Cricetulus griseus: one gene and its partner. The protein of the gene in region 1 interacts with the protein of each later gene in a pairwise test. Links are inferred from orthologs where the notes say so. Each region holds a gene or a part of one and is shown in the gene's direction. Other genes may lie near its edges.

Evidence for each region.
Region 2: the proteins of myotonin-protein kinase (region 1) and Hspb2 interact in a two-hybrid assay, tested with the Homo sapiens proteins (2 studies listed by BioGRID). The link is inferred for Cricetulus griseus from reciprocal best matches to the Homo sapiens genes DMPK and HSPB2.

Annotation. Positions count from the first base shown.
Region 1 is NC_048602.1:28,280,866-28,285,100, reverse strand, and holds the start of myotonin-protein kinase, read left to right. Parts: upstream 1-1,374; 5' UTR 1,375-2,496; coding exon 2,497-2,656; intron 2,657-4,235. Other genes in the region: dystrophia myotonica WD repeat-containing protein, read left to right, coding at 522-596, 841-888. UniProt on the Homo sapiens protein: Non-receptor serine/threonine protein kinase which is necessary for the maintenance of skeletal muscle structure and function.
Region 2 is NC_048597.1:162,524,333-162,527,431, reverse strand, and holds Hspb2 (heat shock protein beta-2), read left to right. Parts: upstream 1-1,420; coding exon 1,421-1,514; intron 1,515-1,925; coding exon 1,926-2,380; 3' UTR 2,381-2,528; downstream 2,529-3,099. Other genes in the region: Cryab (alpha-crystallin B chain), read right to left, coding at 157-357. UniProt on the Homo sapiens protein: May regulate the kinase DMPK.

The DNA of each region.
Region 1 (4,235 bases):
ATGGAATGGTGGGGCCCACAGCCAACCATCCAAAGGGCCTCTGGTGACCTGTGTGGCCCACCCTGAGCACTTCACACTCAAGGCAGACCTGTTTTCATGGGAAATACGCATTTTAATTGGTGAGCTTTGTTTTGGGGCTGACAGTCCAGGGATAAGATTGAGCCGAGGGCCTGGCTTCTGGCTGCCTCTTAGACACTCCATTTCTGAGCCAGCTGCTAAAGGCCCGGATGGGAATCGCCAGGGCCCAGGCCCAGGCCCACATTTCTGCTTGGTGTGTGGTCCTGGTCACTGTGCTTTGCAGATGGGCTGTGTGGTGGCTGTGGTCTTAGTCAGTGAGCTGAAGGCCTGGCACTGGTCAGGACAGGGCTGGGCTGTCTTTTTCTTTAGCATGTGGGCTCTGCGTCCGGGATCCTTGCTGTGGAAGGTTTGAGTCCAGAAAGAAGCCTTAGAGCTCAGAGCAAAGGCAGGGTGGTAGGGCTTGGGATGTGTGAGCTCTAAAAGATGCCCCTCTGTCTCCCTAGTTTACAGACGAGGAGAACGAGGCCCAGACAGGGGAAGCAAGTTGGCCCAGGTCACCCAGCAAGTCAGTGGTAGAGGTAGGACCAACCTCCAAGCTGCAAGTGGACCCCAGATTCTCTTTCCTCTCAACCATCCCCATCTGCCTGCCCGGGATCACCTGGGGCCATTCATTACTGTCAAAGTGCCATCCTGGGGCAGGGACCTCGCCGGGACGACAGCTGTGGGACTGGGGGTCCAGAAGCCTTCGGGTGCCCCTCCCCACCCCAGCACTGGCAGAAGCCCAGGTGTTGTCTAATCCGACCTCCCTCTCATCCTCCTCAGGGTATCTCCTCCCAACCAGGCAACTCCCCCAGTGGCACTGTGGTGTGAAGCTCGGATGTCCCATGTCCCAGCCTCCTAGCCATAACCCCCCTGCAGACCTCAAGGACCACTGTAGTAACAAGACTAATCGTGATGAAGGGCTCTGCAAGCCCCCACCCTGCACAGACTGGCCCAGCCATGGGGATGGAGCGGCCTGTGTGGCCTCAGCCCTGGCCCCACCCACTGCCAAGTACAATGACCTGTCCTCTGAAATACCAGTGTTAACCCACATCCCTGTCCCAGCATGTGACTGGTCACTCCTGGGAGACTCCGCCCACAGCAGCCCAGCTCCACTGTGCCCCTGGGTGAGAGGGCTGCAGGGGGTGTCCCCTCCAAGCCCACACCCCACCCCTTGCTATGATTTGTGCTTTTGAAGAGTGTTAAATTATGGAGGCCCACGGGGCCCTCCTTGTTCCCCCTGGACCTTTTATTTATACTAAAGTCCTTGTTTGCACAGCGTCTCTGTTCCCTGGGGCATGTGTATGTGTGTGTGTGTGGGGGGGGGGGGGGGGGCTGTGTTCTCACCAAAGGAAGGCCAATCCCCGCACCCACCCTTAGCCCTGAGCAGAGCCCCCTGGACCCCCAGAGTCAAGAGCCTGAGGTGGCCCCTTCTTGCTACCTTGGGATGGGGGTGGGGGGTGTTTGAAACTTATTTTGAAGTGTCAGTTCTATCCAAGTGTGCTCTTCTGGGAGGAGTGGACACTGCCTGGAATTGAGCCGCACCTCCTCTTCTTGACACGCTTTGCACCCTGGTGCCCCTGGCCCATGCAGTGCCAGCTGGAGGCCGTGATTTCCTCCCCAGAGAACTGGCCACCCTAGAAAGACGCTAACATGTCTCCTGGCTGGCTGTCCAGGTGGCTCCGCCCCCAACCCCCAAAATGTTTCTGTCTCTAATCCTAGCCCAGGCAGGAATGTGGCTGCTCCGGCCTGTGGCCAAGAAGCTATTTCGGGGTCTCTCTCACTTGGGGAGGGCCTGGCTCCACCGCTTGCCTCCCCCAGGCTTGGGCCAGCAGGTCACCCCTGGCCCTGGCGGCTGGATAAGTTCCCTCCTGATCTCCCTTCCACCTCCTGCCAAAAAAGGGGGGGCGTGTAATACAGCAGGCACAGGGACTAAATTTAACTGTCCCAAAGTCGGAATCCATTGCTGAGTCACGAAGACGCTGCCCCTGGCCTCTGCCCCCCCCCCCAGCCCAGGCATCGGCCCCTTTCCCCACCCCTCCCAGCTCTGAGCTTAGACTGGCTTGTCTGAACACTGACCTCACCTGTAACTCCCTGTGCCCCACCCTCTTATGGGTAGGGGCTTCGGGTGTCTCTGGAGTACTACTCTGCCCCTTGACATTGGGCATTGAAGAGTTTTGGGGGGCCCTGAAAGAAGAGAGTTGGGGTGTTGGCTCAGGAGGGGTTAAAGCTGGGAGGCGGGAGGGGGGCTGGGCCAAGGGGTGGGGAAAAGAGGAGGAGGCCTCAGCCATAGAACTGGCCAGAGGGACCCAAGGGATAGTCAGGGACAGGCAGACATGCAGCCAGGGTTCTGGGGCCTGGACAGGGGCATTCAGGCCCCGTGACAGGAAGACCCCCGAGCTCCGGCCCGGGGAGGGGCCATGGTGCTGCCTGCCCAACATGTCAGCCGAGGTGCGGCTGAGGCAGCTCCAGCAGCTGGTGCTGGACCCCGGCTTCCTGGGGCTGGAGCCCCTGCTCGACCTTCTCCTGGGCGTCCACCAGGAGCTGGGTGCCTCCCACCTAGCCCAAGACAAGTATGTAGCCGACTTCTTGCAGTGGGGTGAGTATGGCCAGGAGGCCTGGGGTGGGGGGAAGGCCGAGGTGGCTCTACAGGGCAGGGATTGGCTGTGGAGGAGCAGGAGGGCCTGGAGAGGTCTGTGGGGACCCCAGCAGAGTTGAGGCCTTGATCCCAAGCTCCCCTGGTGGGGCAGACTGGGGTCAGTGGAGGCCAGCCATGACTCAGCCAGTGCAGGCTGGGGTGGGCACAGCCTGCTGCCTTCTCAGCACCCACACGGGCCTGGCAGCTTTCCCCTTCTAGGACCCTCACCCTCCAAAAGGAGCTTTGCAGCCCTCCCTGGTTTCTCTGAGTGGGGAGGGCAGCGTGGGGCAGCTGCCAGGGTGCGGCCCGTGGGCAGGTGTTTGGCGTCTGCCTCCCCAGCTGCCCTGACAGGTGTCCAGGAGCTGTGAGGGCATCGTGACTCACAGAGGCCGGCAGACAGGCGCCACCCAGCACCCCTCTGTCCCCCCAAATTAAGGAGGAACAAGCTTCTGAGCATGCCCTTCCGTAGCATCTTGGTCCCTCCTAGACCGTGTGGCCCAGCTTTGGGGATCCCATTTGGCTTCCTACCTGCTTTCATGGTCCTAGCTCAAGGCCTCTAGCTCCCCTGCTGACTTCAATGCCCTTCTCCAAAGGTCTTCTGAGGCCTAGTGGGTGGGCCTGGACCTTACCTGCCCCGGGCCCACATGCAGCCAAAGCTTGGGCTAACCCCAGCTTCCTCAAAAATAACAACTGTGTTGTTGCTCTGTGCCTGTCATTGAGGGTCCCCCATTCTTGGTCCTTGGTCCTCGGCCTGTATGTCCTGCTCACTGTCCCCTCTTCCCCCATTTCACAGATGGAAAGGTGGAGGCCATGGGCTAGGCCACTAAGGCTTTGGGGGGACCTTTCTCCTCTGCAGCCCTCAGTGACTCTTCCAACCTTCCTTTTGCAGAGGATGGGGCTGGGCGGGCAGGGTAAACTGAGAGCTGGGGTGGGGGTGGGGGGTCTGGCCCTCTAGGAAGGAGCAGTCCTTTTGTGGCCTGAGCAGCATCCCGTGGGCCCCTCCCCTGCCAGGCCCGGGCGGGGGAGGGGGCCTGGGTTCCCGCTGCCTTAAAAGGGCTCAATGCTTTGGCTCTCTCCTCCCCCCACCCCAGCCTTGGCCCTGGCTGTGTCTTCTCTGGCGGCCCTTTCCTCGAGCCCCTGTCTTCTCCAGGACCTCCATATTATTCCATATTATTCCCAGTCCTGACTGCTAACCCAAGGGAGGCCTGGCCTCCCTCTGCCCCCTGCCTCCGAGGCGCCAGCCCTGACCTGGCTGCCCTCGCCTGCTGGCTCAGGAAGGCTCTCCCGCCCCCTTTGGAGGCCGAGCAGGCCTCCAGTGTCCAGGATGCTGGTGGGCTGTGCCACCCCCGCCCCTCCAGGTCCCACACTCAGTGCTAACCACGTGCAGTCCTCTCGCCGCCTGTGCTGGACACCGCTGGCTTTTGATGCTAAGGCTCAAGACATTAAACGAGTCTCTGAGGGGACCTGACCGAGCACCCAAATCTTACGCTCGGGCTTCTCCCTCGTTTCCCTCCCTCTGCTGCCCCCCTTTCGGCCATGC
Region 2 (3,099 bases), on another chromosome or scaffold:
GGAGAAGAAAGCAGATACCCAAGGAGAAGGAAACAGCAACCCCATTTCTCTGTACCTTTGCACACTCACATGTCTGACATGACTTAGGCAGGGGCAAAAAGGAAAACAAATGAAGACGTGTCCGGGAAGTTCAGGAAGGACATAGGGGAGACTCACCTCTGAGAGTCCAGTGTCAATCCAGCTGGGTGCCCGAAGGAAGGAGGGTGGCCGAAGGTAGAAGGGGCTCAGAGAAGTGGCAGTTGAGAAGAGGTCAGACTCCAACAGGTGCTCTCCGAAGAACTGGTCAAAGAGACGGCTGGGGGAGTGGAAAGGGAAGAAGGGACGACGGATCCAGGGGTGGTGGATGGCGATGTCCATGGTGGCTCGATGAATCTAGGGACAGTTGGCTGGTCAACTCCTTCAGCTGCAGCTACAGCCAGCCCCTTATATATGCAGTCTTGTGAAGCTTCTGGAATGGTGATGTCAGGGGTTTTATTATCCCAGCTCACCGCCAGTTCATGGAGACTTGTGATCAGGGATTTGGCAGGGTGACACATACCCAGTACTCACTGAGCTAAGAAAAGAGAAACACAAACAGGGCTGAGCTGGCCAGTGACTTGTCATGGTCTTGTTTCACTAGCTCTCTGTCCACACCCAGTGGCACCCACCCCCCATCCTTGTTCTCTGGAGCTAGGACAGAGTCAAGAATCCCAAGCAGCTGGTGGCATGCCCCTCCTCCTCTCCAGTCTTGCATGCCAGGGGAGTTGAGCCAGCAACTATCTTGAGCCTGGGCAGGGACTGGAATCTTCCTAGGCTGGGCCCCAGGGACATTAACTCTTTGTGGTGCCCTTGAGGAGAGCAGCCCTTGACCACCAATATGTCAGTACCAGATATCTGGCTAGAACCCTGTGTTGACCTGGGTTCAGAATACCCTGAAATTAGAGATAGAAAATGCTTCTTGCATCTTTGATGCTATATAGCTCATGAAACATTTAATTTTTTTTAAAGTAGTGTGCATGGTGCCTACGGTTGAGAAGGACAAACGGTGATGTAAAACTGTACAATTTGAGAAGACAAACGGACAGTGATACGGAAATGTACAATTTGAGAAGACCTTCCTTTGTTCTCCAACAGTGCACCAATTCCTTTTCTCAACTCGCTCCAGTACCAGGACCCTCAGCTGTCCATCCAGGCTTCTGCGACAGCTGAAGAGTGTGCAGAGGAGGGGACTTGGGGGGTCCAGGCTGTGCTGGTCACACCCTCATCGCCACACTCTTGGGCCCAGGCTCCAGGCCCTCCCCCAGAGGCTTTGCACTATTTTGGGTGGTGTAGACCCCGCCCCCACTCTGACTGAGTCCTGGCTCTCCCTCCAGCTGAAGGGGTCGCGTCGATCTTGTTGGGGCTGCGCTTGGGATCAGGGCTGCCAGTCGCAACCAGAGTCATGTCGGGCCGCACAGTGCCACATGCCCACCCAGCCACGGCAGAGTATGAATTTGCCAACCCCAGCCGCCTGGGTGAGCAGCGCTTCGGAGAAGGTATGGCCTAGATGCTGCCCACCCCCACCTCCTGAAATTCTGGGCTCCTGGCCCAGTTTCACTGGCCTCCTCCCTACCTGGGGCTTAAGTGAACTCCTGGGGTGAGCCATCTCCCACCCCTGACTCCCGCCTCAAGCAAGGCTCTGTTCTTGCTACAGACTTTAGGACAGGACTTTAGACCCGCAGGGCTCCAGTCCTTGCCTGCTGAATACCTTCTAGTTCCGCTTCTGTCTTCCCAATCCCTGCTTGCTTCCTCCATTGCCATTTCATTTCCTTTCCCAGCTCCCCTTCAGCAGCTTCCCCACCTGCTCTTCCCAGGCCCATGTCTCCTGATGTTGCCTTTCAGCCCTGTGCACACTGCATTCATCCTTCATCCTGCCTCTTGCCTTCTCTTTCTCTCTGCCCACCCAGGCCTCCTGCCAGAAGAGATCCTGACCCCCACCCTCTACCATGGCTACTATGTCCGGCCTCGGGCCTCCAGAGCTGGGGAGGGCAGTAGGGCAGGGGCTTCAGAGCTCAGGCTCAGCGAAGGCAAGTTCCAGGCATTTCTGGATGTGAGCCACTTTACCCCAGACGAGGTGACCGTGAGAACTGTGGACAACCTGCTGGAGGTGTCGGCCCGGCACCCCCAGCGTCTGGACCGCCATGGCTTCGTGTCCCGAGAGTTCTGTCGCACCTATGTCCTGCCAGCAGATGTAGACCCCTGGCGGGTCCGAGCTGCCCTCTCCCATGATGGTATCCTTAACTTAGAGGCGCCTCGGGGTGGCCGGCATTTGGACACGGAAGTCAATGAGGTCTACATCTCCCTGCTCCCTGCGCCTCCTGACCCAGAGGAAGAGGAAGAGGTAGCCAGAGTTGAGTCCTGACTGCCCGCGGTAGACCCAGCACCCAGTGAATCCCCTGTCTACATCCCACGGTGATTCCAGAAGTCCACCACCCCAGAGGTAGCAGCGTCCTCAGGGGGGGAAAGGATAGATGCCTGGTCCACAGTGTATGGTTTGGTCCCTTGATGTATCCTAGCCTTTGATTTAGTTCTGGGTGGAGCTGAATAAACCCAATCCTCGGGGCCTTGTTTGTGCTGCTCCTGTTCTGTGGCCTGGAAGACCGAACCGCGAACGGATTGGAAGGTCACAGGGAGCAATTTCCACTGTGAAATGTGCCCATCGTCTCAGCATCCTAAGCTCACACTTGGATGCTGAGATCACCCCCGGAAGCTGACACTGGCTCCAGATCAAATTCCTAGCCATAATTTTCTCACAATGCAACAAAAGAGAGAGTGATCCTGGGAGGGATAGGGATGTGCCATCCAAACAGCCCAGAGGGCACTGTCTGAGCTGGTGATTAGAGACACAAAAACAAGGGTCTCCAGGCTGTCTGGCCTTTTTAGGTAGGGGTTAGGATAATGGGTTTTGGCTGGAGAGAGTTGCCTAAAGCTCTGGAGTGAATGTTTTGCTTTCCCATATCAAAGGCTTGCACTGAAAGATCTCTGGTTGAGGGAAGGAGTGTGCATACATGGGCAGACAGACTCGTCAATCCACCATTATCACTGAGCCCACAACCTTCTCATCTTGAGTACAGGTATAGG